4 linked regions of the Astyanax mexicanus genome follow. The protein of the gene in region 3 interacts with the protein of the main gene of each other region in a pairwise test. Links are inferred from orthologs where the notes say so. Each region holds a gene or a part of one and is shown on either strand. Other genes may lie near its edges.

Region 1 (7,465 bases), on a different chromosome or scaffold from region 3:
TGTTTTTTGAATTCAATGGAAAGCAACAGGTGTAGTCAATTATAAGTTTAAGATTTTTAATCCACCTCACTGTGATCTATAGTCAGTGTTCTCAAGTCACACTGACACACGCATTTCAGCGAGTTCACACGCTCTCACCTGCGCGCACCCACCCCTCCGTTAGATACAGATACAAAACCTGCGCGCCCAACCCCCGCCCCCCCTCCCCCGTTGGACAGATAAAAACAGTGATCACACTCCCGCCGACTGCGCTCATGCAGTGGCTATCTCTATTTAAATGAATAGGATGCGCTGTGTTGGTGCCGCGCCATTTGCGTAGCGCGCTGCACTATTTGCGTAGCGCGCGCGGGAGGGATCGTCGATCCTCTTTTTGACTTCGATACTCGAGATCGTGACCTCATTTCGATTCGATTTCGATAAAATATCGAGATCGTGACACCCCTAGTATAAACATCATATAACAGTTATATACATCTAGTAAATGCATAGAAACTGCAAACATACAGTAAATAGAAAAATAAATTCAAAATAGATTGCTTTCCATAATGTCGCTACAATCACAATGTTTTTTTATTGTGTTCAACATGTTTGAAATACTATTGCATAAGATACAATAAGGCACACCCTTAGATAGCACTGCCCCTCACACCCATGACCCATATAATGGTTTATGATGTGATACTTGGTAACTGTCATTGTATTGTTATTTTTTAAACTAAATAACAGACACTACAGCAGATTTATACTGAGCAAACGCTGCATCTAAAACGATTCAAGAGTTAGGGCCAGTTTGGTTATTAGCCATTAGACAATGGACAGCACACTGCTGGGGATGAGGCCTAAATATTAAATAGCAAATAAAATAAATAAATAGCAGCATGAGGACTGCTATATTGGATTGCTTGTTGGAAGCTCATTTCAAAACATCATGGAAAAGCTAGTATGTGTCCCATAATTTTGCCACGTCTCATTAAAGAACGCTGCACTGACCTGCAGGATATGGGTGGAACCTGCACTGAATGTAAATGTAAATTGTGGAATTGCTTTTTTATTGTACAGAAAATTCTAGCCATCCGCTGCCAGTCACAATCACTACCAACCACTTCACTGTTCACCATCAGTGGCAATGACTTCTATGATGCATTACCTGTACTCACGCTACTGTTGACCAAGGAATGTCACAAGCCAGTGCAAGTTGCATTGGATATCCAATCCATCTGGCACACACATCAGGCCTTGCTCAAACTCAAACATCATTTACAGCACCTTGCCCTGAGCATGATGGTCAGTGTATCGCTCACTCTTGACCTCACTTAACAGAGGTGGGACTAGATTTCTATGAGAAGTAAAAGTCATCTTAAAAAGTTCTGAGTTCTCTCAGAAAAGATCTCTGATGACTCTTTCTGAATGGAATATTCCAAACTAGTAAAATAGCACATCATATAACTAACATTTAAATACTTATGGAAAAAAGTATAACATATCTAAAGTTTTCCTCTTGTAAATGACTTAATGAGTAATTTAAGTGCAATTTACAGAGTGACACAAATGATACACACTTTCCAGCACCCCTAAAATAAGCATTTTTTTTTAGTTTTCAGCCATCAACCAGCTGAGTGTAGGCAGAGTGCAGAACATTACATAAGTGCAAATAAGAGAAAACCTGCAAATATGCTGCATCCCATACCACGAAAAAGGTAGAAAACACAAATAAATGCATCACTAATATACTGCATTATGTAATAATATACTGACTGGGGAGTGCAATACTCAGGTTAGTCAAACTGCCACTACTGGGCCTCTGAACAAGGCTACCACTGGGGGCACATGTGCCTAAAATGCCACTATCTGTGCACGTTTAAAACATGAATGGGTTAAAACTGAAGCAAATGTGGTCCTCTTTTCTTGTCATTCTGGAGAAACTTAAAATGACACGCCTTTTGAAATAATGCTGATTGCCTTTCTGAAAGCTTTCTGAAAAGATTGCAAATCATTACACCAAATGGTTATGACACAGGACATCTGATGCCCAAGACACATTGCTTTAGAAAGCAGTTCTTAGTGGAGGTTACATGCAACTTCCAGCCAATCAGTCCTCAAATACAACAACTTTTACAACCATTTGTTGACATTACACGGATTGACAAAATGCAGGTTTTGTGAACAGAATTTATAATTTGTAGGTCTTGGAAGGTGTCAGCTGACCATAAAAGTGAGGACGGTGTTGTTTAAAGGACTGTTTAAAAGTAACGTTACTGCTCCTAGAATTCGTTTGTTAAAAATTAAGCTCGTTGTTATAACTATGCAGTTCCACCTTAAATGGCGCCAGAACGCAACTCCTGCTGTGTTTAAGGTGGACCTGAAGATTTGAATAGGAAAACAGAGAGCAATGTCCTGTAAACAAACCAGTTTGACTTTTAACTGGGTAAATTCATACGAAACAGCCGAACTGAATGATCATTTGTAATATTATTAGTAATCTAGCTAGGTTAATCTAGCTAAGCTACCGTTAGCTACCTAGCTAGAAAGCTGAAGTCGACGACTTTGCCTACACTCTGGCAGCTTTCTGTTAGCTTAGCCTGTCCGGGAGAAAGCGTGACGTCTTTAGACACAACACAGACTGAACTATAAACAGTAGAATAATGATAAAAATGTTCTCATTTCTCTGGAAGTGCTGTTCAGAAACTTTTGCCGTTCTCTAATACTTGAATCGAAAGGAGGAGCAGCGCTCGTTCCACAGATAGCCATCTTAGGCACGCGAGCGCGAGCGCACGCTTAAAAAATACAAACAACAACAACAACAACCGACAACGACAACAGACCGAAACCACTCTCACACTCTCACTCATACACAACACTTCACTGCTTTCCTCCAGCACGGTGCTGCGCTGCTGCAGGAAAGTCCATGACTGTACCGCTACATGTGTTTTGTTATCAGCTTACCTCCCCCTCGCTGCCTGGCGCTGGTTCATCCCACTCAACACTCCGCGACGGCCGCTGGACTTCCGACGTCACGGCGGCGTCTTTCCGCTTCTGCGCAGACGCAGCCGGGCTCTGTATTTATGCGCGTATCGGTCCCTTTAAATCGGGGGCGGGGACCCCGCAGTCCCCGGCGCAGTTAGCTGATACAGCTGATACAGCTCAGCAGTTAATTGAATTAAGGTTCCACAGCGGCATTCCCAATGCGCAAGTACCCGGCCGCCTAGGGCCCCTATACCAACAGGGCCCCCCTCAAGAGCACCCAGATATCACGATAAAAAAAATAAACTTAATGTACAAAAAATGTGTGTTTGGTAATTTATTTCCTTGTTGACACAATACTATCACTCTCTGCAGACTCCTCCCGAGTAAACACATGATGCTAGCATGTTCCAAACTAGTAAAATATCACTAAAATATCAAATTATATAAAGTAAAAGTAGTCAGGAAGATACTGGAGTGCAATAACAGAAGTAAATTGAATAAAGGTTCCAGAGCCGGCCCAAGGTGTATAAGTATAGGAAGTCAAGTATAAGTTGTAAGGAAGTCTAAGGCACAAAATCTAATGAAATTTGTGTTTGATAGATCATTTCTGTGTTGATACAATACTTTTTTCTTTGAATCTATGAATCTTATACAATTGAAAAGCCTGTTAATTTCCCTTTTATATTGTAAAGTTTCAGGGGGTACAGATAACAGACACTTTAACCTGATCCACTCACATTGAAGCTCTGGTCAAGAGAGTGCAGCAATGCATGCATTTCCTGAGACGGATGAGAAGAGAAGACCTTCCACCTCCGATTCTTAACACCTTTTACTGTCAAAATTATATCTCTGCATCTCTGTATGTCTGGGCAGGACCCTGTAGTGCTGCAGACTGGATGTTTCTGCAAAGAGTGGTCAAGACAGCTAAAATAATCATTGGGACTTAACTTCCTCGCCCACAGGACATTGCCATAAACTGTTGCCTGACCAGAGCTCAAAACATAATTAGAGACCCCTCCCATCCCAACCATGGTCTGTTCTCACTGCTGACCTCTAAAAGGAGGTCCCGCAGTCTTCGATGTAGGACAACCAGGTTCAAAAACAGCTTTTTCTTGTATGCCATAAGACAGTTTAAACACTGAAAATAATAACACTTGTGCAATATTAGTTTTTTGGTTCTATATGTGCAATATGTGGGTATGTGTTGCAGGTATATAGTTAGTTTACATATTTGTACAGTGTGTATATGATGGATATGTATAGTTGTATATACTAATATATATATATATTGCTCTACTTGCACTCTAAAAAGTATTACTGTTTCTGGTTGTTTCTCCTAACTACTGGACCGTTGCAACGAAATTTCATTCCTTTGTGCACTACTGGTGTAAAATTGAATGACAATAAAATAATTCTGTGTACTAATTTGCCCTAAATTTGGAGATGTTATTATAGGGCTCACTCCAAATAATGCCGCAACAGGGCCCATGCTTACAGGTACTCACCTTGCGGTATCAGAATGTCAAAACAAGAGTCAATAGCAACAGCAAAATACGCTGTTTGGCAGTGGAAGAGAAGACTTGGAAAATTATTCATGTGTTCAACCCACATACTCAGCTATACTGCTCATCACACAATAGTATGTTCCTTATAAACGTGGCTCCACTTAAATGGGAAATGAACAGGCTTTTCAATAGTGTAAGATTTATCAATGCCAAGAAGCATTGATCCAACAAAGAAATAATATAACAAACACAAATTTCCTTAATTTTCATGATATGTTTTATGCTTATTTAAAAAAAATATATATTGATTAATACAAATAAAATGGTATTACACGCTTAAACACAAGTTTTATATTATTTTCATTGTTGGCACACCAATACTAGGTTAAATGCAAATATGCAGTGCTTGAGTGTTTGATAACTAATGTAAGTCAGAAGTGAAGTGAGTGCAAATCGGCAAAGCTATGTCTCAAAAAATGAATTAACCTTCTGGAGAAGAGATTGTGTTTTATTTCACACAGGATTTAGCCAGTAAATTGTAATGAAGCACGGATGTGCAAGTTATGAATACGATTTTTTGGTTTCTCCATGGAATGGTTGAAATGATGAAGCATCTGGTACTGAGGTTATGGAATGGGGGGGCCCATAAAGGCTTGGGCCAGCCCTTAGTTCATCCTCTGCTTAGTTCTTGACTATCATCACAAGTGTCATATTTGTTTTAGCTTGATGGTTAAGCTGGTGAACTTGACCAAGCTGATGAATCAGCATGACCAGCACAACCAGTATCACTAAGCTGGTTGACCAAATTTTTAGACCGACATGCCAAACATCATGAGTATCACACAAAGGTGTCAAAATGATTCAAATTCATTGCTCAGGTAGATGTATAGATACTAGGGTTTAAAATTCTTCTCTAGAAGTGTTGAAGTACCAACTCAAGCTTTTTACTCAAAGAAAAGTGTAAAAGTGCTTGATTCAAAACTACTTTAATTATAAAAAAATAAATGTAATGTAAGGGACAAATGCCATTAAAAACAAAAAGCTTAGATCGTGCCACAGGGTCTATAGTGCACTCGACCAAACAAGGCAGGAGAGTTGTGAATGCTGTAGAAAAACAGTTACTGTGAGTTATGATATGGTTAGCAATATGCTGTCACTGAATATGTCTGTGAATAGGGCACAAAGGCTGATTTAGGGTGTTGTAATGTACAACATATAGTTTCCCAAAGGAAACATACTTCAGTATTATTTTTATCATCATTATAAACCTTTACATCCTGCAATCTTAGGGCTAAGTACAAAATAGCCATGGTAATCACACTATTAGAACAGCCAGAAAACGGAATAATAGTAATAGTAACACTGCACTGTGACTGACAGTGTGATTTCTAAAAAAAATTAATAATAATAATCTAGTGAAGTATAGATAGCAATTTAGTATAGATAACCAACACTTTTACGTAGCAAATGTATGGTAACAAAGTATTTGTATTTAGACACCTCTGGTATCACCTGACCACCATGAGTATCAGCTTGATGATTCTTAAAGACCACAGTTGTCAGTCAGCATGACCTGAATGACAAAATGTAACAGCGCCGCCTTCTGGTCAAACATCGCCAGATCCTTTTCTTTACAACAGAACGAATTCTGTAAGAAGCAATCGCTGCTCTGGGTAAATTCTATTTTCAGCAGAGCAATGTAACTGTTCTACTGTATTATTTTTGATTAAAAAAAATAGTGTTAATAAATGTTAATGTATTAGCTTTGTAAATAAAAGCTACTTTACACTCTTTTAATCAAGGCTAGTTGATCACATGCCCAATTGCTGTTATGCAATTAGGCTGGATACCATTCTTTATGATATTTAGATTATCAACAATAATTACTATTAGCTACAAAAATGATAAAATGTGTTTTATGTAAAGGCTATATCTATAAAAAAAGGAAATGTCTAAATAATATTAAGTATTTAATTACTCTAAACAATTACTGACTCCATTTTTATGTATACTGAGAAAACAATTAATAATCTCTAAATGATTTAATAAAAAGCCACTCACTTTCTTGTCTGTGTCTTGGGTGGAATGGTTGACCATAATCAAATGTGACATGTTGCTCAAGAGCTGATTAACCAGCTAGCCCGTTAACCTAACCTACCAGTCCAATATAACCAGTGTTCCTCAAGTGTGTGAGACAATGTGTTACAACACTTTTAGAGATAAGGAATCAGTGTAAAACATCTCTTCAGGATATAGAGTGCACAAGATTCAGATTTTTCAATATTTTCTTTTACCTCACCTCCACATTAAATAAAAAAATCAGGCCCTGTTTACAGCTGGAATTAACATACATTTCGTATTAGGATATACTTTGACCGGATTCTGTTTACACTTCTTAAATTCGTCCCCAGTGTGACCAGATGGTATCAGCTTTATGCTGTTTTTTGTGCACAATACTATATAATGTGTTAGTATGAAATAATAGTGCCAACAGTGCTAATAACCATATTTATCTCTTTTATTCAGCCTGATATGAATTACACAATAAAATAAAAGAGAAAAAAATCTAAAGAGAGCTATTCTATAACGTCCCTTCCCTTTGTGGACATCCCATCACAAGCACTCTCTCCATAGGCGTGGTAACAGGAGAACAGCATCATCGGCATTGTTCTTGCCAGAGTCATCGTCAGCACATGCTTAATGTTCACCTGAGGTTTCAGTGGTCAGTGTCTTTATTTTTTCCTTTGTTTTCATTCTGTTGCGCATGTTTGCTCCTTCCATGCTACCAGATGAAGTCAGATGTTGAGGAGCAGAGGGTTAGCAATGGTTGTGGACAGTCTGTGCCTTTTCATGATCTGGGATGTGTCAACAGGATAGATAGATAAAACAGAAGAGTTTATTATATATAAAAAAGTAATTGTCCCATTTGGATCAAATCCATACCCAGGTGTATTATGGCATCACCTGTGTTGGCCTTTGTGTTCGTTATCAATATG
Region 2 (7,072 bases), on a different chromosome or scaffold from region 3:
TCTGGAAGTGTCAACAAGCAAATAAAACTCTTTAATTTAAATGAAATTATAATTGAACTAAAATTAAACAGGCAAAATAATTAAACTTAAACCTAAGATTTACCTGAGTTGATGTGAACAAATACATTCCATCTTTTCATAAAGATATAAAAGTATCAACCTGACAGATCTGCCCTTACCACTTTTTACAATCGCGAGTAAATTATTGAGATTAAAATGTATTTAATCACGTTCACACATTTATTCAGAGTAATGTACTTTAAATAAATGAAATCTACCTCATGGTGGGTTTTCAGCCTTTTTGGTAGGTTTATCAGCCAGCCCCATTAAAATGCAGATTTACAGGAGAATAAAACCTCCGAAGAGCCGATGAGCCACAGTCCTTCACAACAAAATACAGAAACAGAAAACGGTGTTAAAGCTCGATCTAAAAAGCTCAACACAGACATTAATGTGGATGCAAAGCTGACACTCGCATGCACTCCTCAAACACACACGCACGCAGTTGCTTTACTGCTCTTTAGAAGATATTAGAAGACATTTTCAAATACTTACAGTCAAATGAGCCGCATATTTTTTAAACCGAGAAGATGGTCATGCAGTTTTCGTTTTTTGTTTTGTGCATCACTGACTATTAAAGCATATTAAATCATTTGTGTCCTGAGTGGGAGGTAAGCAAATGAAACCAACAACAAACCTACAAAAGGAAGAAATAAAATCAAAACCCAAAACAATTTCAAATATCCAAATTTCAAAAATTTATTCATTTCAAACTGCATATTGAAAAAAAACTCTCTTACTGAAATTGTAACTGTTATGGTGCTATTAGTTCAAATATATATATATATACATGGAGTGTTGGCATCTGCGTACAGGCCACATTTTTAAAAATACAACTACGGAAAAAAAGAGTTAAATTTTTTTTAAAATAAAAACTTAAAATATCACAGTAAATATACAGAAAATTTACAAGCCATGAGAAAATAAAGAACACAAACTTCATATCTCTAACAGATGGAGGGTTGGGGACTAAACAAAACAAAACAAAATAATATATAAATTTACGTGCGAGTGTTTTTGTATTTCATCTTTTTTTCTTTTAGAACTAAATTAAAAAATGTTGTACTGTCTTTCACCCTCAAGGAGAAACATTTCCTGCTTTATATTTTTTTCCAGCGGTTTGCAGAGACTGGAGCATTAAGCATTGTGAGTTCTGCATGATTTAGATTTTATAAAAAAAAATCACTTTTTGTAGTTTACAAACATTACAACTGATTGTTATATGTTTTTGATAAATACTGTACAAAACGTTGATTGCAATAATAAAACATCATTTGATTGATTCTCCCCACCCTCCTCCCTTTTGTATGTTTCAAAAAAGAAAAAAGAAAACACACTTAAAAAATAAAATAATTTTTGTACGGTTCCTACCGTTTCTTCTAGCGCATGACTTGCTTTCTTTCAAACGAAAGCAAAGAAAAAATGTTTGTGTTCTTTCCTCGAGTCCTGTACAAGTTTTCCCTCACCAAAAAGAAAAGTTCTGTACAAAAATAATAATAATAATTATAATAATAATAATAATAATAATAACAGTAGTAGTCCAGTCCCAGTGTTTTCGCGTTTGTGTAAAACGGGTCCAAGTGTCCATCTACATGTGCGTTAAGGGCAGCGTGCCGTTGATGGTCGTCCCGTGCACAGGTGCGCCCTGGTAGTGCTGGGACAGGTGCAGTCTGCTTTGGCCCGTTTGATCCTGCACGTCCGCACCGGGCAGGTACATGCTGATCATGTCCCTCAGATCACCCGTCTGGCACGGCTGGGCAGCGGCGGAGCGCGAGTGCGAGCTAGATGTGACTACGGCCGGTGGGCTCGCGCTGGACTCGGACTTCACCCCGGAGCTCATGGAGCCGTGCAGTGTCATGGGGGGTCCGCTCTGCTGCTGGGAGTACGCCATGCTGCTGTACGTGGGCGAGCCGTTCATGTACGTCTGCGCGGTGGTCATGGAGCCGTACTGCAGCGCGCTCATGTCGTACCGGTGCACTGGTGCCGTGGCCGAGGTCTGCATGGGCGCGTTGAGGCCGGCGTGCTGCGCGTACCCGAGCTGGTCCTGCATCATGCCGTAGCCGCCGTTGCTCCAGCCGTTCATGTGCGCGTAGCCGTCCATTCTCTGGTTCATGCCGGCCCCAACGCCGGAGCCAACTCCAACGCCGACCCCAACACCGACGCCCACCCCGCCGCCACCCGGTGCGAGGAGTCCACCAGGAAGCGCGTACTTGTCCTTCTTCATCAACGTCTTGGTTTTCCTCCGCGGTCTGTACTTGTAATCCGGGTGTTCCTTCATGTGCAGTGCGCGGAGCCTCTTGGCCTCGTCGATGAAGGGTCTCTTTTCGGACTCGGACAGCAGCTTCCACTCGGCCCCCAGCCTCTTGCTTATCTCCGAGTTGTGCATCTTGGGGTTCTCTTGGGCCATCTTCCTGCGCTGGCCCCTGGACCACACCATGAAGGCGTTCATGGGTCTCTTGACCCTCTCTGGGCTGCTTTTCTGATTGTTGCCCCCAGGGTTGTTGCTATTCCCCGTGCCCCCAGTGCTCGGCTGAGGGGCCGGGGGCTTCAGCTCGGTTTCCATCATGCTATACATCTAGAAATCGTTGTCAAAAACCTTCTCCACTCGACCAAGAACAAAAAGCACCAGCAGAAGAAGTAGTAGAACTTCTGGCAAGTGAAAAAATACAAAAATAAATAAAAATAAAAATAAAAAAAAAACTAAACAAAAATAAAAACAAACCAAGTCCAAGCGCTCTCTGCGGCAGCCCCCCTTCAGCCCGTGCTGGGGTAAGTTTTTCTGCAGTTCTCCACTTCGTCTATTTCCCCCTCACTCCTGTTTTGCCCACAAACTTCTCAAGTCTTCAAAAGAATCAACAAAATTGAGCTTTTTTTTGCCCCCTTTTCCACGCCGGAGCCTTGACAACTCCAGATACTTTTGGTACAAGTTAATAGACAACCGTTCACGTGGAAGGACTGTCAGCCAATATAAATGGTTTCTCACCTGACCAATCGCAGCGCGGGGTTTGGTGGGTTAATTAGCATAAAGGGGCGGGGCATTGGGAGGCTAGAGTGGGTTTCCCAGCTGAGTTTGAACAGAAATCTCTCTCTCACTCTCTCTCTCTCTCTCTCTCTCTCACTCTCACACACACACACACACACACGCTGCAGATATATGAAACAAGTTTAATTTGAACGTGATAATGTGCAGTGTTTAGCCCTAATGTTAGTAACTTAAGTGAAAGCTGTGGAAGTCAGAGAAATATATATATATATTTCCTTCGGGATAAAGAAAGTATAATATATATTATATGATATATGGGTTTTAATATATGTTATTTGAGTTTTCACCATCTAACTGATCTCCCTGCCTCGAGACACTGCTGCTGTTTATTATTAATTTCAAATTCTCCTCATTATTTCTAATGTCCAGTAATTTTTAAGTTAAAGTAAATCAGAACGCCAATATTGATTTGGTTGATACACCGTTTAAAACCTCAAAAAGTATCACTATGTACTGACCCACAGTGAAAGAAGATTTTACTATACAGTTTTATTCTCGTGCATAGTGCAACCAATGGACGAACAACTGCAGCTTTATATTTACTCTGATAGATTGTGCACACAACAGTTTGAGATAATTTCAGCACCTCCTGTGTTTGATTTAAACTTGTTGTAAGTTATAAGCCCTCTAGTCCAGTTCAGTGCCAGTCCCAGTTATAAATAAACTGGTGAGAGAATGAAACTCTCTGCAGAGGAAAGTGGAGCCGATCTGGCTTACAAACAAGGCTTATTGTAGAGACAAACACGTGCAATCAGATCACTTTTAATTCACAAAAAGCACGAGCCGACGAGGCCCTCACTGTGTTTCAACAGCGCCCTCTTCCGGCCGGTTTGACTAACGCCTCTAATAGTGCCCCAAGCTTCACTGCAGTCTAAAGAGTAGCAGTGTGGTGATCTGGACTAAAATGTTGAGTATAAACTAAATTACTCTGTCTGGAAGAAAGTGTGCTTTGTGGCCAATCAGCCAGGATTTAATTTTTCAGGTCTGAATTTTTTTCCCCCTCATTTCCATTATTAACTAACTTTTGGATTTTGCACAGAGATGCTGGGGTTTAAAAACATTTTGGGTAAAAGTTTTAAAATGTTAAAATTTGGATTAGAATTTTATTTCGAATTATATTGGTTTTATAATGTATAATATTAAATTTGGGCTAAAATAATTAAGTTTGGACTATAATGCTGTAATTTGGATTTAAATTTTAGTGGTTAGACTACAATTTGGGAGTTGGATAGTGGCGGTTGGGGCAAGATGCTGGGATTTAGACAAAAATATTTAAATAAAAATGTTGGAGTTTAAATTAAAATATCTTGCATTAAAATCTTGTAGACTAAACTGTTGGTGAATGTGGTAAAAGGTTTAAGTTTAGGGTAAAATGTTGTGGCCATTATTTTAGCTCAAGACTAACTCATAAGGAAGAAGTGAAATGTTTATAACGTTTATAAACCCAACTGTTTTTACAAGGTCAGAGTATATTGGTATAAATTGAGTATAATGGTGTATAAGTGGTAAGATGCGTATGTGTGTGGCTGAGGTGTAGTGGACACCCCTCTCTCCCTCTCTCTATTGGGGCCTTAATCTGCTTATGGAAATGCAGTGAACAGCAGGAAATCAGAAATCACCATCATCTGTATTTGTCTGTGTGTGTGTGTGTGAGAGAGAGAGAGAGAGTCCTCCTTAACTGCACTTTTCTTAATTGACACAATTACAATACAGCAAATGTTCACACACACACACACACTTCTATGAGACTGAGAGCAGACAAATATTTTCATAAAGAAAGAGCTCATCCAGTGCTTAATAATATCTCACACACAACCAGAAAGCACATAAAAGACTGCTGTACAAAACAAGCCTAACCACATCAATACAGAAGAAACTCTATAATTAAATATATACATTAATAAAATCAAAAATATTAAATATTAATATTAAACTTAAAAAATGTATTTTTAACACTATGAAACAGACTAAGCTAAAACACTCAAACCCTATTTCAGCTAAGCACACTGACATCCACAACTCTCCATTATCTCTCTAATTATTCCTCAATTTTATAACATAAGTCAAAAAATAAATATTAAAAGTAGATTTACATTTCTGCATAATTTTGGAGATAATTCTTTTTAGCGATGTATAACAAAAAATCATTATATTGTCTGTGTGTGTGTGTGAGTCCGTTCGCATTGGGCATGGTTTGTCCACTAGGGGGCGCAGATGAACAGCAGCTTGTGTAGAAACTGACTAGTTTTGGGGGGGGGAAATAATTAATATTTCTATTTATATTTTCTCATAAACGTAACACTTTTTAAACAAGATATGAGCACACACACAATTGGCCAAATTGACAACAACAAAAACTAAATCAATATATATATATATATATATATATATATATATATATATATATATATATATATATATATATATATATATATATATATATATATTTTATTTATAAAAGCCCATTCACGTGATATTAAGTTTAAAAACTTTTACTGTAAAAAAAAAAAGGCGCTCGTAAAAAACGCGTTGATGACGTTCGCATCGCAGGCAAATGCACATGCACGTAATTGCGTCAACAGTTGTTCTTAAATGAGAGCAGCGCATGTTTAATATTTAGGCATTAAAAACAATTATTTCAGAATGAATTCCCTTAAGTTTAACGTGTGTGTAAACTATATATATATATATATATATATATATATATATATATATATATATATATATATATATATATATATATATATATATATATATATATATTAGTGTAAAATATAGTGTAAACGCCCTTTAGGCATTTAACACATCTAATCAGCACTTTCCACCCTCAACCAAACACACACGTTTCTCACTGTGCTGATACACACTCACCTCACTGGCTGCTATTTCTCCTTACTGCCTGGCAAATGCCCATATCCACAGTGCATCTGTCCCAGAGGTGCCAAAACTTTTACCAAAAAAGGAAAAAAAAAATCCCTCAATTGCTGCATCCAAAGCTTCAGATCTCCAGTTTAGCCAGTCCACACACACTGCCTCATACGCACAATACACACCTCATATTCACAGTTCATAACCACCTCGTACACTTCATAGTCCATGTAAACCACATAAATCTCACTCCTTGCACGACGTGCACTCCTAGCTCCCTAGCACACTCCACACACTCCTCGCTCGCCTTCGCTCCTCTTTGCTCGCCGGACCTGGAACAAGAAAACGCCGTTTTATGGCTACACACAGGGCTGATTTGAAAGAGGAAGAATGCATCAAGAACAACAAAAGTCAAATTATACCACCACCCCCAGCACCGAGCATAATGAGGAGGAAAAAGCTTTGTATTTTTTTTATTTTTTTTTCCCTCTCGCCGGGTATTCAAAGATAATTTGAAGCCATTGTTTCTTCCACAGATGGTTCTTTTTTTAATACAATAACGCTGCTCTTTGTGTGCACTACCCACAATAAAAATCTAAAGCCTTCTCCTGAATAACCCATTTTGTTCGCTCTTGTAAAGGGCCAACAAAAGCGGCCGGGAGCTAATGGGCTCGCTTTATTCAAAGCCAAAGAATGGCTATTTGATAAAGAATTTTTTTTCTCCTCCCTTTGCTGAGAATGCATTGCCATGTCATACAAAGCTACCGTACAGTTAATTTCACCAAAAAAACAACAAATGCCACATTATTATCATTATTATAACTATTATAATTTTGCAGCTAAAATTCCAAGACTAATCTTCTGTTGCTGAGTCAATTATTTAATCCTCAGAAAAGTGTGAATAAGCAAACACAGTCCAATTAGTCTTTCTGCACTGTACAAGCTAACACAGCCCAAAGCATTTCACCTGTAAAACCATACTTTATCAGATAGATTATAGTCAGCAGTTCTTTATTGTCACACAAAAACCTTCTTTAATAAACAGTGAAAATTCAAATAAACCCAAATGAATTTGAAATGGGCAGTGAGTGTGTTTTCCTT
Region 3 (6,893 bases):
CATTTAGATATCTGCTATTATTCTTAGCATTGCTATGGATGCCAATTGATTGTGCATTGCAAATGACTTTGTGAATCTCAACACTTGTCCACAGATAGAGGTGGGACAGTACTGTGTTTAAGACTGATTTAATTAGACATGCAGACTAAAGTGATAACTTGTATATTAATAGTGCTTTTACTTGTTACATGTGTTTACATGTGTGGTGGATCAGTCCTGAATTCGGTAATGGCGAGGCTCTAACCAGGAGCATCCCAATTAAAATGTATTACTTGGAACTAAGAAATTCCAACATCTGACTTCAAATGGAACACAGCAATATTATTTGAAAGAAGAAAAGCAAAATGGAATGGTGTGCTCCATCACACAAGCCACTCACTCCCTTCAGATATTAGAACACCTTGATCTATTATAGCGCAAACCCAAACATACACTACATGTAACAAAGGTTCACAGGGTTCTTACCTGTCTCTGACTGTATGATTCCTTCAGTTTCTTTAAATGCGTCGTCATCTTCACTTTGAAGTGAATTTCACTGTTGTCCTGGAAGGAAACATTAGGAAAAACTTGGAGTAAGTTATAAGGGGGACATAGTTTATTCAGGCCGTGAACACCACAAGTAAGGGTGGGTGATACGGTAAAAATATAAAATGATAACATATTAAAAGCATTATTACAACACACAATACAACAACGAAAGACACAATACAGTGTTGTTTACTCAATATATGTTTAGAAAGCATATTCAGCAATACTTTCTCTTAATAAAGCGTTTAAATTTTAGATTCTTGTGTAGTTCATCATTCCTGTCATGCAAAAACCTTAACCGTCCATCTCCATGTTTGTTGTTTTTTCACTGACAGTGTAAACACAGAAGTTGGAATTTACATTATACTAATATGTCATAATGAATTGACCAATAGTGATGTTCCAAAAATACCAAATAATAAAACAAAGTAATAAAAAAAACTGTATTATGTACACAGAGGAATGAAATTAGGGTCCTCTATGACCATATGCACAACATAACGTGCAAACTGGTCAAACATAAAAATAGAACACTACAATAAATATTAATGAATACTGCGTACATTAAAACAATAGAAAAAAACAGATAAATGTACAGTTTGGTTAATCAATTTAATTTGATAAATCAAATTACTGTTTTAAAGCGATTTTTAAAATGAGATACGCAGACTGCAAATTTTTACATAGCAATCTCTATGTGCCAAAAGAAATCTCTCAATAAATAGTAATTAGGCTTAAGTTTCTGTCAAGAACCCTATAAAGAACCTCTTAATTTGGTTAATAAATGCATAAATAAAATGATAGATATAACTGGTGTTTTAATTATTTTCAAACATCTACAAATTAAAAATACTAAGGACTTACAGCTCTGGGAAAAAAAGAGACCACTTAAAAATGATGAGTTTCTTTAATTTTACCAAATTAAAAACCTCTGGAATATAATCAAGAGGAAGACGGATGATCACAACCAATCAAACCAAGCTGAACTGCTTGAATTTTTGCACCAGGAGTGGCATAATGTTATCCAAAAACAGTGTGTAAGACTGGTGGAAGAGAACATGCTAAGATGCGTGAAAACTGATTACAAAGCAGGGTTATTCCACCAATAATTGATTTCTGAACTTTATAAATATGAACTTTTCTTTGTATTATTTGATTTTTGAAAGCTCTGCATCTTTTTGGTATTTCAGCCATTTCTCACTTTCTGAAATGTTATCCATAGTTTATAAAATAAAACAATGTTCATTTTATTCAAACATATACCTACAAATACAAAATCAGAGAAACTGCTTCAGAAACTTTAGTTTTTTTTTCCAGAAGCCTATGCAAGAACTAAAAATATCGAGAATATCGAGATTTTTTTACCCACCCTCTAGTTAGAGTGAAGAAAACTACAGTTTATCACGATCTGATATAATAAAATATTAAAGTATTGCCCATGCCTAAAAACAATAAGCCAGCTTCAACAATCAAATCTGAAGTTTCCCCTCTTACCTGACCAATCACTTTCAGTTTAATATATTCTCCGTCCTTCTTCTCTCCATCTCCTGAGGGCTTAGTCTCCTGAATACAGAAAGATATGACATTACACTATGTTACATATGTAAAGGAATACGCTATTAACTGAGGAAACACTGGTACATTACCAGTAAACACTGGTAAAGATGTGAATAAGACTCCCACGCTAGTAAAAAACTAGCTAGGTAGGCTAACTAACTCAGCTAACTAGCTGTTTGCTAACGGATTCCACTGTATTGGTTTGTGTGAAACATTTCAACACCTGATAACGTTAGCTAGCTAAGCTAATTTCAGCAGTGTGCACTGGTTTACATTAATGCTGTAACGCAGCAGGATAATTAAACCACTATTATAACAAAAGAATAACTCAAAACTGACAGTTTACCGGACAGACCGGCAGATAGTCTGTAAACTTAGATAAGCTAGCTGTTAGCTCAGCTAGCGTTAGCTATGCTAGCTAATACTCCTGGGCCCACCAGCCATCTAACGTAGCTCTCAGGCTTTATACTGAAGCTAGCACCTAACGAGCCTCACTAACCCGAGTCTAAACACAACATTTAACTCGCTACAGCTTCAGTAAAGTGAACTCTCCAAAATACAAATCCCAAACAAGGGAAACACAAGGCTCACCACCAGAAATCTGCCCCAGATATCAGTAAAACATGAGCTAATTAGCGAGCTAAAAGGTTGCTGTAGCTTGTTATCGTTAGTAAACGGGCCTCGTATTTTCATATTTAAGCGCTGTTTCTGTCAGCCTGCTGCTGCTCGCTCAGCTCCACACAGTCTGTGAGACATTCCTCCAGAACCCACCGTGTCCGACATGCTGCTCCTCAGCGCCTAACCCTCTCCCACAGTGATTTAGTGAGAAATGTAGGTGAGTGTGGCTGTAATGTAGGTTATGTTTCTCTCTCGTAGACTCTCCCTCTCACACACACACAGCAGCGCTGACCTCACTGGAACAAGGGGCGGGAACGATGACAAAACCCCGGCCAGTGTGAGTAAAGGAGGCGTGTTCAGGTTTTAAAATGCACCTACAATTAAAGAGCATCTTATTTTAAAATTTCATAGTTTACATATACGGAAACGTAATGCTGCAGAGTATAATTAAAATATGAGCAAATAAAATATACAATAATAGTAATAATAATAATAATAATAATAATAATAATAATCTGCCACATGTCATTATTAAAAACCGTTATCACAAACTGTGCCTTATATAAAATTGGCTTTTATTAAAAAAAAAAATTGGTTGAATTTCAAACGTGCTGAATTGTTCATGGTGATCTTGTTCTGTTTCAAAACAATATTTTGATTTTCTGAATACATATTACATATGCAGACATCCCAAGTTGCAATAGTTTCAGGGAGGTTCCCCGCACCTTGACTTCCTGCCTCCCCCCAAAAAAACATAACTTGCACACCAATATATACATTTATACATTTAGTCCCTCGTGTGCAATGCGAAAATCACTATTACATACTGTACAGCGGGCAATACTTCCATTGCCCGGGAGACTTGTGGGCATCAGGGAGCAGTTATTAGCATGCAGTAGACTCCTGCAACTTTTGGAAGACTTGGGAAGTCTGCAAATGTGTGATAAAACAGGCGTTGTTTTAGATAAATAATATCTCATTATTAAGAGATGTATGTCATAATTTGAAGATAATAGATTCATAGTTGTTTTTTGTCCAGACTATCTAAAATCCATTTGAATACAATCTGGATATAGCAAGAAAAGGATTTGGACTGGCAGTCTAAACATTTGAGTCCACCACTGTCTCTAGCACAGTTTAGTGCTCTCACACACTTCCTTTCTCCAGGATTTGTTTGAACTTGCTGAGTCCACACAAATAAAACACTTTATTCAGAACAGGATTTTGTAGTAAGAATTGCTCATAAATATGGCCTAACAATTTGACATTGAGGAAAAAATGGTGCACCATTATAAATATTTGAGAAATATGTTAAGATAACTTTTTTTGTTTGTTTACATTAACTCATCAAATTAAGTTTTGAGATTTCAATTATAGTCCATAAATCAGTTTGTGTGTGCAACACTTCCCAATCCTCTCTTACTGTCAGTGTGTAGTTGTTTTTCTGTTGTTCAGACTACCTTTACTCATCTATTCTGTTATATTTTATACAATGGTTGATTGCCTGTTCTCAGTGTTGATGGCTGTAAGAGCATGTAACCATTTTCTATACAGATGAGTTTTATGTATAAAAACTCCCTGTTCAATGTTTTATATGGTTTCAATATATGGTATTTATATTTATATGGTTTTTCTTAATCTAGTGGAAAGGAAGGGGTGGAGTCCAACACAGTTTGATGATAGTTCTGGTGTAACAGAGCTACTGAATCTAGCAATTAACATATCAGTTGAATCAGGTGTGCTTAATCAGGCAAACCATAAAACCCAGGACCAGGATTGTCCACCCCTGATTTAACTTAATTAACAAAGTTAGAGCCAATAACTGGAAGATGTGAATACAAATCATGTAAATACTTTATCTGTATTTCCTGCTAAAATCCAGGTTGTTATCCAGAGAAACATACCCTATGCTATCCTACCCAGTGTAGGGTATGTTCTTTCATGTTGACCAGCTGGTCTTTCTCTGGATTTTTTATCAGGGTTGTAAACTTGCTAGGTTGCTTGGTTGAAACAACATGTATTGTGTAGTAAATCAACTTGCAGAGAAGAGTCACAGCATCTAGTAATAATAAGTTTATTTTAACTTAAAGCTTTAAATGAGCACTAAACTCCCTGATTTTTGCTGACACCACCCTTACTCAAATTTAAAAAAAGGTAAAATTTGGAAGGGGTCGTTTGGGTGTGTCACTCGGTGATGTATGGGTTTAGAAGTGGGACCGAAGGGAGAGCTGATTGGCTAAGCTGCAGCAGCAGTGTGCCTCTGATAGCGGTTGGACGACAGTAGGGGACACATCATCCTCGCCTATAGAACAGTTGGACATGAGAGGGTGCTGCAGAGGCGGAAATTACCACAATAAAAGTGTTTTTTAAAGTTTAGGAAATGTTAAGAAAAAATTTAAGCAAGACTGGTTTGTTTTATTACTTAAAAAAAAACACATTTCAATGATTAATGGAAAAAATATGGTTTAGGGTTGAGTGGCTCTTTACAGGTGAACTACAGTGTGAAATGGACTTGGGGTGTAGTTAAACATGATAACAAGTACAAACTGTTGTGCAATAGCCCATCTTCATTTACCCCAAGCATTCTGATTTACAGGCCTTTTTGCCAATGCTCCCAACATGCTTCTAATGCTAGTGATAGGGGCATAGCATTGCCCAAGCAAAGAAATCTCACCATTAACAAGTAGCTTCATTGGTATAAGTTTGAGGACCCTGACATTTAAATTGAGACACTGAGAAAGTGCACAGGTTTTATTTAAAAATATTTTTATACACACAGGATAGCGAAAGAGATTGCAAAATAAATTCAGTGCAAATGCATGAATATTATAGAGATATTTTAGCAACAGCTGGACTTCATGCATTTTAACAGAATTAATGTAATATATTTTATTTTATTTTGCACTACTTTGTCTTATTGCAGTGTGATTTTTGATACAAACAAGTTTAATAAATATACATTTTGCAAGAATGATGTTCTTTATTGCATTAATTTTATCCAAAACAAATGCAAATATATAGCAGTAAAACTGTGATTCTTTTTGATATACAAGGTTGTAGCAAAAACGGAGGGGGGGTGGAGAAGCTTATAGCCAGAGTTGAATTCAACAAAAATAAAATCAATAACTTACAGTGTGGCTGAAAAATAAACTGTTGATGGGGACAAACGTTCTCTGATAAATCACAGTATTGATATACACATTATTTGTAACTTAATATGTAAAATGTATTGTATGTAAACTTCACCAGAAGCATGATGGGAAAAAATCTCAGAAATAATCTAGTTGAAGTCTTGCAAATAGTGATCCCCAGACTTAGCAAAATCTTAGCCTGTGTGTAAACAGTCTGTGACTTGTCTTTAGATGTTAGAGAGTGTCAGACTTTAGTCTGTTTAAAGTCTTTTTTGAATCTTTCTTGAATCTTTCTGTCCTGTATTGAGTGTTTGAACAGCATAACAGTGTGAAGAGTCGCCATAGTCAGGGTATCGTCCACCTCTGCTTAAAGACCGCCTATCAGACCTACTGCGCATGCGCGGGAGTTGCCCGCGTGCACCGCGTGGTGAGCAGAAGTTCTTGCGGTTAGCCGTGCTGTGGAGCTGCTCTCAGCCGGGAGCGCGTTAATTCCTCTTATATTAACCAAACAGACAGTTAGATAAAGATGTTGGTGTTGTTTGAGACTGCGGCAGGCTATGCCATCTTTAAGGTAAGTGTACTTTACTTAAATAATGTGCAATAAGCACAGTGAGCTTTCTCCTCGCGAACTGTCGTTTTCAGCCTGTTAGCAGCGTAGCTTTTCTCGCTAGTTGAAGTTCCTCTGTGGATAGATGACTTGGCGGGCCAAGAACTTCAGTTTAGGTTGTTTTTAAAGTGTAAGTCTGGTTAAATTTGCGGCAATAAGTGTGCATACGCATACAGTAGTTCTAACGCATTGTCAATAGCCGGGTTGTTAGCTATAGCAGCGTTAGCTATGCTAAATATCTCAGCGCAGTGGCTTGTAGGGACGGGCCTGCTTTGCACCCACGTTGTGAAATTTCTGCTAAGCTAGCCGAGTTAGCCAGCTGTATTAACGCTATAGTTATCTATTTGTCGAAAGAGAATATGCTGTGTTTTTAACTACGTGTTTTATGCACGTATAAATGCAATTAAAGTAAGCATACTCACGGTAAATTTAAATAACGTTTCTTAAATACG
Region 4 (7,391 bases), on a different chromosome or scaffold from region 3:
ATGCAAGGACAGTATCTTCTGTTGAATGTTCAGGCAAATCTGAGAAATCAGTCATGTGTTTATTCACCTTCTCCTTGTTGGAGCCACTGGAAATTGTGTGTGGAACCATAGACAACTCTACATTCTATATAGACTATAGAATGGTATATAGTACTAATAAGGGGCTCCTAGTTTAGTCAGGCACATAATGTTTTCCTGGCATTCACCAAAGCCAGACTCATCCATTACGCTGCCAGAGAGAGGAGTGATTTGTCACTCTACAGAACACGTTTCCACTGCTCTATTGCTCAGTGGCAATGTGCTTTACACCCCTCCATCTGACACTTTGCATTGCGCTTGCATACAGCTGCTTGGTTTTTGTGAGAGGAGGAGAACACACTGCAGTTAGCAGATTGGTGGTGACTTTTACGCAGGTAGAATCACTGACTCGGGTGGTTGTTACGATGTTATTAAGTGGTTCATGTGATGTGTGTAGGTGGCTAGTATGATAAGATATGATATACTTGGTTACCATGATGTTGCAATGGTATCCCAGGTGGTTGAAATGATGCTAGATGGGTGCTACAGTGTGGTAAAATATTTGCTACAGTTTTTTCAGACAGTTGCCATGTATTATTTACCTTTATAACTATTTTTGCATTTGTTGCTTTAGTTACAGCATCTGTAGAGTATCACCACAAGTCAGTGTCAGTACTCTACACTTTCTCAAAGTGAAGGGCCCTGAAATGTGGGGTATTTCATTTCAGTAAGTAAATGTAACCTGCAGATGTGTTAACTGACCCTGACCCTGTCTTTCTGATTAAACTGAATGTCTAGTTTACACAATTTAGCTGAAAAAATAAACCTCCATATTACTGTAGGTTATGCGAATGACCATGTGTATTACAGTACAATATAATAAGTTACTGATTTTTTATGCCAGTAAGTTACAGTAAAATATTTAGATGTAATGGTCGGCGTATGTACAGCACTGTACTTTACAGTTTCACTTCAGCCACTCCACTTCAGCCACTTCAGCCTGGAGTCAATATGGAGTATTTAAGCCTGGACTGATTTTTATTGAGAAACACTGTAAAGAGATTTACCAATAGAGGGTAAAACCTCACAGGAAACCAACTGCTCTGTTTAATTGTAATAACTGAGAGAGATAAATAAATAATCAATGTGCCAAAATTAACTGAGAATAAATGGTACTAAACCCCACAATATCTCATCAATACAAACCAGGAGTTTATAATCCCCAGTCCTGGAACTTTAAATGTACAAACAGGTAACAGTTAAAGGTATATTGTGCTTCACCCAGCTTGCAAATAACTTGTGTGGATACTGCATGAGTGTTTACAGTGGAGGCATGATGGGATTCGTAGAACTGACTTTGGGAGCCACTGGCTTAAAAATAAAGCCATGAAATAGGGGCCCAAATGTAATATGGGTAACATTTGTTGAGCTCAGTTCCGCAACAGGAAACCAGCAAGCTCACATGTGGGCTAACTGCAACAGAGCTGAGCTGGACCTTGATTTTCAGGGCACTGCAGCTCGTAGGAAGTGTGCTGCAGCACAGGACGCACACCTCCACTGTACACAAATGAATGGGAGCTTGAGCCGCGCAGCTTTCATCAGGTGTTTCTTTAGTAGTAGAGTAAACAGGCCTCGCAGTGTGCCAGGAGAGCCTGGGTTTACCACCACATTACACTACAGCTCTCAGCACCTGAAACACAAGGCTCTCAGCACCTGAAACACAGGACTCTCAGCACCTGAAACACAGGACTCTCAGCACCTGAAACACAGGACTCTCAGCACCTGAAACACAGGACTCTCAGCACCTGAAACACAGGGCTCTCAGCACCTGAAACACAGGGCTCTCAGCACCTGAAACACAGGGCTCTCAGCACCTGAAACACAGGGCTCTCAGCACCTGAAACACAGGGCTCTCAGCACCTGAAACACAGGGCTCTCAGCACCTGAAACACAGGGCTCTCAGCACCTGAAACACAGGGCTCTCAGCACCTGAAACACAGGGCTCTCAGCACCTGAAACACAGGACTCTCAGCACCTGAAACACAGGGCTCTCAGCACCTGAAACACAGGGCTCTCAGCACCTGAAACACAGGGCTCTCAGCACCTGAAACACAGGACTCTCCGCAACAGAAACACAGGACTCTCAGCAACAGAAACACAGGACTCTCAGCAACAGAAACACAGGACTCTCAGCAACAGAAACACAGGACTCTCCGCACTGGAAACACAGGGCTCTCAGCAACAGAAACACAGGACTCTCCGCAACAGAAACACAGGACTCTCAGCAACAGAAACACAGGACTCTCAGCAACAGAAACACAGGACTCTCCGCACTGGAAACACAGGGCTCTCAGCAACAGAAACACAGGACTCTCCGCAACAGAAACACAGGGCTCTCAGCAACAGAAACACAGGACTCTCAGCAACAGAAACACAGGACTCTCAGCAACAGAAACACAGGACTCTCCGCAACAGATGAGGACAGCGTGACAACAAGAACAACAGTAACAGTAAGAACAGCACAGTCTCTCTCAACGCCACTATACTCAACATTAACATAGTTATAAACACATAAATACCTTAACATTGACCTGCGAGGGGGAACTGGACATGTCTCAAATTCAGGAAGTTCTCCCGTTTCCACTTTCCTTTTCTCCTCCTCCTCCTTCTTTTCTTTATTCTCTGTGAAACAGAGGAACCGCCGCCGCGGAGAAGCAGAGACAGTCCGGCCTCAGTGTTTGTCGAGCCGCCGGCGCGCTGCTGCTGCTGCTCATCACTCGGCCTGCGGCTCCATCGCTCCCGCCCGTCCCGGAAAACACCAACAAAGCTTTCCTCCAACTTCTGCTGCTGTGCTCTTCTCTCCTGCAGCGGCGCTACATTTTGGCGAGGTGATGGTTAACACCTTCCTGGAAGACTCGCGCTGCGCTCATTGATTCGGTCGTGTTTGGTGGCGAAATGACGTGAATTCCTAGCAGTGAGGCGCAGCCCCCTTAAAGGGAAACCCTCTCAGGAAGTCGGGCTGTTTGTGCTCGAGCCGCCGGCCTCTGCTTTCCGCCCGTACTGAGACAGGCCACGCCCCCCCTGCGCGCCGATTGGCCAACAGACCACAGTAACTGGTTAAAGCTGCACTGTGAGATACTTGTGCTCCACAGTAACAATATGACAAGGATATCTTTATTTATATGTACGAAAAGCTGCTTATTTCACAACCTGCTACTTTAATGTCTACTTACATATAGCAGCTAAACTGATAATATGCTTCAAAATTACATCTACTGATTTATTAATTAAATATATTTCAAATTATGTTGGATTTTAACACCAAACACACAAATTATAAAATAACAATGTACAATACTGTGCTCCACATTAACAATATGGCATATCTACATAGGGTATCTTTATGTATATGTATTAACGCTACTTATTTCAGCAGCTACTACTGTAGTACCTACTTACATATATCAGCTAAACTAGTTAATGCTTTAAAATGACATAAACTTTTCATCCCTGAAATCCCTTTCCAGAAAGTGTATCGCCATGTATTTTTCACAGAAAATTATTGCAATTACACATGTTTAGTTGTACATGTTTTTTTCCTTTGTGTATATTGAAACAACACAAAAAACTGAGAAAAAAAGAAAAAAGGGGCCTAATTTTGTATAGAATTCCAAAATTGGACAAAATTCTTGGCACCTTTTAAAAATGTGGCAAAATAAATCTGTTTCAAACATGTGATGCTTGTGAACTCATGTAAATCAATGTATGTGAACATTTTCTGGTTAATTTTCAAGGGTACCAACACTCGACCATAACCTACAAATATGCAAATTTGTGAATGGGTCATTACCACCCATTTCATTAGTTAACATTTACTTTTTATTTGGATCTTTTTAAATGGCATTACTTTACAATATGGTCCAAAATTTACAAACGGCACTTTTGGTATGCTCTTATATGATAATTTATTAATTTGTGCATAAGAACATTACATATTGTAGTAGCTTATTTATAAATGCATTAAAATTACATCTCCTAAAGTACTAATTTAAGTTTTAAAAATTGGCCTATTTAATCCCATTTTTAACACTAAGATCAGCAACTTTAAATCAAATGGGGTACTACTTACATTTCTGGATTACGTTTTATTTTGTTCTGTTCACATAACATTTCCCACATTTGAGTTTTATCATTTTTTTGTTAGACCAATATGATAAAAAATGAAGACACAGATAATACAGTGACAGACTGGTAAACATTTCATATACTTATAGTAACAAAGTCTAAAAGTTGCTTTCAAACCAGTTTTTTCCATTTGTTTTTCCTGAGTGAACTAATCTTACTTGTAATTGAGTCATTTATGATTTCCATCTAGTAACACTTTTACTTTCCTGCAGTTTCAGGCTCATCTCTTGTTTTGTTCTCCGCTAGCTTCTTGGCTCCCGCTCTGCGATTGGCTATTGGTAAACATTCGCAAGTAGTCGGCCAATCGAAGAGCACCGGGGCGGGGCTTTCCCCAATACGGGTGGGGAAGTAACGCATCGTGTGCAGCGTTTGTGGGTGTGGTTAAGCGTGTAGCCTTTTTGGAGCTGTACCTGGATCAGCTAGTTTGGTCACACAGCATATCACCGTGCCGTACTGCACCCACAACACTGGTCGCAGGTCAGCGCTTACACACAGCTATCCTGTCTTCCCAGCATGTGCGCAGAGGAAACTGGGAATTGAAGCCGCTGTGCACTTTTGACACTGTGGAGTAAAGCATTGCTTAATCGAAGGGTTTCAATGTCTACTTAACACAGTAAACACGAGAAAATGGTGCATTACTGATAGAAGGTCACTTTTTACACTGATCTGTTCATAGGAGAAACTATAAACATGTTGTGAAAAGGCTGCAGTAATGACAGCTATTTTATTAGCGTACAGTAATAAATATGTCAGACTGTAAATCCGTATAAAACGCTACATAAACAAACAAAAAAACATTGCTTATTATTGAAAGTAGACAGTTTGTAAAGTTGTAAGCTTTGTAGACAATGTTAGTAAATTGACATTTCGATTCAGCATTAAATAGTAGCTCTTGCTCTCTTGACCCCTGAGTGAAAAATAGCAGATAAATATGTAATTTAACTTAAATATATAATTCAGAAATTCTAGCTAGATCACAGGAGAACAATTTTACTGATTGTATTTTTTTTTTTTTTTCGTTTTTTTTTTTTGGTGGACACAATGTTAAATAGAAAGCAGTGAGTTAAACAATTTTGCATGATTGTCATGTTTTAATAAAAAAAAGAACTAAACAATTACATTTGCTATAGACATATTTTATTTAGTAGACATACTGTACACAATTTTGGGTATTCATCAGAACAAAACAAAAAATGACAATAATAGAAATCTTATAGCAAAATAATTCAATGTTTGTGCAAACCCGTTTATGATGGTCTGATGCTGACTGACTAGCATACCAGTGTTGTAAACACAGCAAATGTGTTTTTCCCTTTTCCTTCTGGGGCAAGAATCTGTGCCTCATGTTTAAATTGAAGTTTAGCAACCTAGCTTTCTGTTTCACTGGGTGAAAATGTTAACAGCCAAAGACAACACAGCTATACAATTATATCTTGCAGTAAGCTGTCCATATCTTGCCTTTTGATTGAGCAAGACATCAGCTAGCTCAAGTTTCAGACCAAGCAGTGTATTGAAGCTGTATGAGAAAATTGAGAGGATTGTTTTGTTCCTGAGCTTGTTCCCTGTACAGCTGGGAATGGGATTTCACACTATGAGCCACCTCATAAGAAGGACATGCTTTCGTGTATTTTTGGATATGCTGAGAACAGCAGAACCGTCACTGGAAATGAAAGGAGCATGTGGACTGAGGCAGAAGAGCACAATTACAGGAGCTTACACAAATATGACTCACATACACAGCTCTCATGAGTGTTATTCTGTAGACTTTACCAAAGAAACATAGTGTAGTTGGCACTGTGTCAGACACAGAGTAGAAACAAAAGAAACACATTACACCTTTGTTACACATTAGTGGAGAACCACAATGATTTTGAAACTTTTTTCGTGATAAAATTGGAAAACTTGGTCAAATTTAATGATAAATGCTAAAACCTCTATTGCTAATGATCCGCATGCCAATGTTCAACACACAAAATATTTAAAACAGTCTGTCTCTTTTAGCAGGTTTTCTACACCATGCCAACTGTTACATAATTTTATCCCACAATTATGAGGTTTTTTTATTATTATTATTTTTTTACAAGAGAAAATCAGAAGTACCCACTAATACTATAAGCTGTATAATATATACCATACATCTTAATAGTGTTGGTTAGTACACAGAAGTGATTAAGTGTTGCTTTGCCAGCATATATAGCAGACAGTTTTACAGTCATGTTATTTTTTTCTAATAATTGTCCAGATCAGAGAAGCTTCTCCTCCATCGAAACCACACTCAAATACTGAATCAATGGAGTATGTATCTGAATATGTCTGATATTTTTGTATTCTTAACTCTTAACACTTTTATCTATACTTTTTTTAATCACTACTATGTAATGGTTTATACTTAAAAGTGAATTCGTTTTACTTATTTTAAATACACAATTGGGACATACCCTCTGTTTTGATGAAATTAATTAGATTATAAAATCTGTTGCCTAAATTTAAAATATCCCAATGATAAGGCCAACATGTAGAATTCATAAAATACAATTATATTAAAAAAAACAGAAAAAGATATAATTCAATGGATCTGAAAGAAGATAAAATACTTTTGTAATCATTTTTAAATGTATTGTAATAGTTATGTAATATATATTTACCCTCTTTTGTAGTTAATTTTTTGTAAAGAAGTGTACTGCACAAAAGGACCTACCCTATACCATACTTAACCATACTTAATTTACTTAACTCTCAGTACATTCATTTCCAGGATATATTTTAAAGGATAACCATAACCATACCTGGTAGATTGCCAAAATGACCCTCTTAGATATACAGCACTTACAGTCTAGTTTGAGAGATTGTAGACACTTAAGCTTCACTCTCACTTCTGATCTGAAAAAGTGAGAAGAGTTCTTACTATCTCTCCAATGTGAAAAGATGACTCACCACTGCAGTTCTGAAAAGATATGGATCTGTTTAAAAAGACATAAAAGAAGAACATTAAATCAATTTTAAAAAATGTCTAAAGATTCTTTACTAAAGGCACATCACATACTGAACATATGTATATGTTATAATGAGTTTTAGAGGCAAAAATGTGTTATGTTAAAAAATAAATAAATGCAGATGGTGTAAAAGTTGATCAACGGGGCCCTCTTGTGGCTTGGGGTCACAAACACTCTTATTGCTAGTAAAGTACA

The links.
Region 1: the proteins of sumo1 (region 3) and setx interact in a two-hybrid assay, tested with the Homo sapiens proteins (2 studies listed by BioGRID and IntAct). The link is inferred for Astyanax mexicanus from reciprocal best matches to the Homo sapiens genes SUMO1 and SETX.
Region 2: the proteins of sumo1 (region 3) and sox2 interact in binary tests that used the Homo sapiens proteins (3 or more experiments, as listed by UniProt). The two-hybrid records come from large-scale screens. The link is inferred for Astyanax mexicanus from reciprocal best matches to the Homo sapiens genes SUMO1 and SOX2.
Region 4: the proteins of sumo1 (region 3) and etv6 interact in a two-hybrid assay, tested with the Homo sapiens proteins (2 studies listed by BioGRID). The link is inferred for Astyanax mexicanus from reciprocal best matches to the Homo sapiens genes SUMO1 and ETV6.

Annotation. Positions count from the first base shown.
Region 1 is NC_064424.1:27,370,760-27,378,224, forward strand, and holds the start of setx (probable helicase senataxin), read right to left. Parts: upstream 3,023-7,465; 5' UTR 2,944-3,022; intron 1-2,943. UniProt on the Homo sapiens protein: Probable RNA/DNA helicase involved in diverse aspects of RNA metabolism and genomic integrity.
Region 2 is NC_064423.1:26,444,722-26,451,793, forward strand, and holds the start of sox2 (transcription factor Sox-2), read right to left. Parts: upstream 3,028-7,072; 5' UTR 2,636-3,027; coding exon 1,649-2,635; 3' UTR 556-1,648; intron 383-555; 3' UTR 279-382; intron 1-278. UniProt on the Homo sapiens protein: Transcription factor that forms a trimeric complex with OCT4 on DNA and controls the expression of a number of genes involved in embryonic development such as YES1, FGF4, UTF1 and ZFP206. Binds to the proximal enhancer region of NANOG.
Region 3 is NC_064412.1:37,933,854-37,940,746, reverse strand, and holds the start of sumo1 (small ubiquitin-related modifier 1), read right to left. Parts: upstream 3,016-6,893; 5' UTR 2,869-3,015; coding exon 2,857-2,868; intron 2,092-2,856; coding exon 2,023-2,091; intron 544-2,022; coding exon 466-543; intron 1-465. Other genes in the region: nop58 (nucleolar protein 58), read left to right, coding at 6,361-6,405. UniProt on the Homo sapiens protein: Ubiquitin-like protein that can be covalently attached to proteins as a monomer or a lysine-linked polymer.
Region 4 is NC_064409.1:31,538,511-31,545,901, reverse strand, and holds the start of etv6 (transcription factor ETV6), read right to left. Parts: upstream 3,017-7,391; 5' UTR 2,631-3,016; coding exon 2,598-2,630; intron 1-2,597. UniProt on the Homo sapiens protein: Transcriptional repressor; binds to the DNA sequence 5'-CCGGAAGT-3'. Plays a role in hematopoiesis and malignant transformation.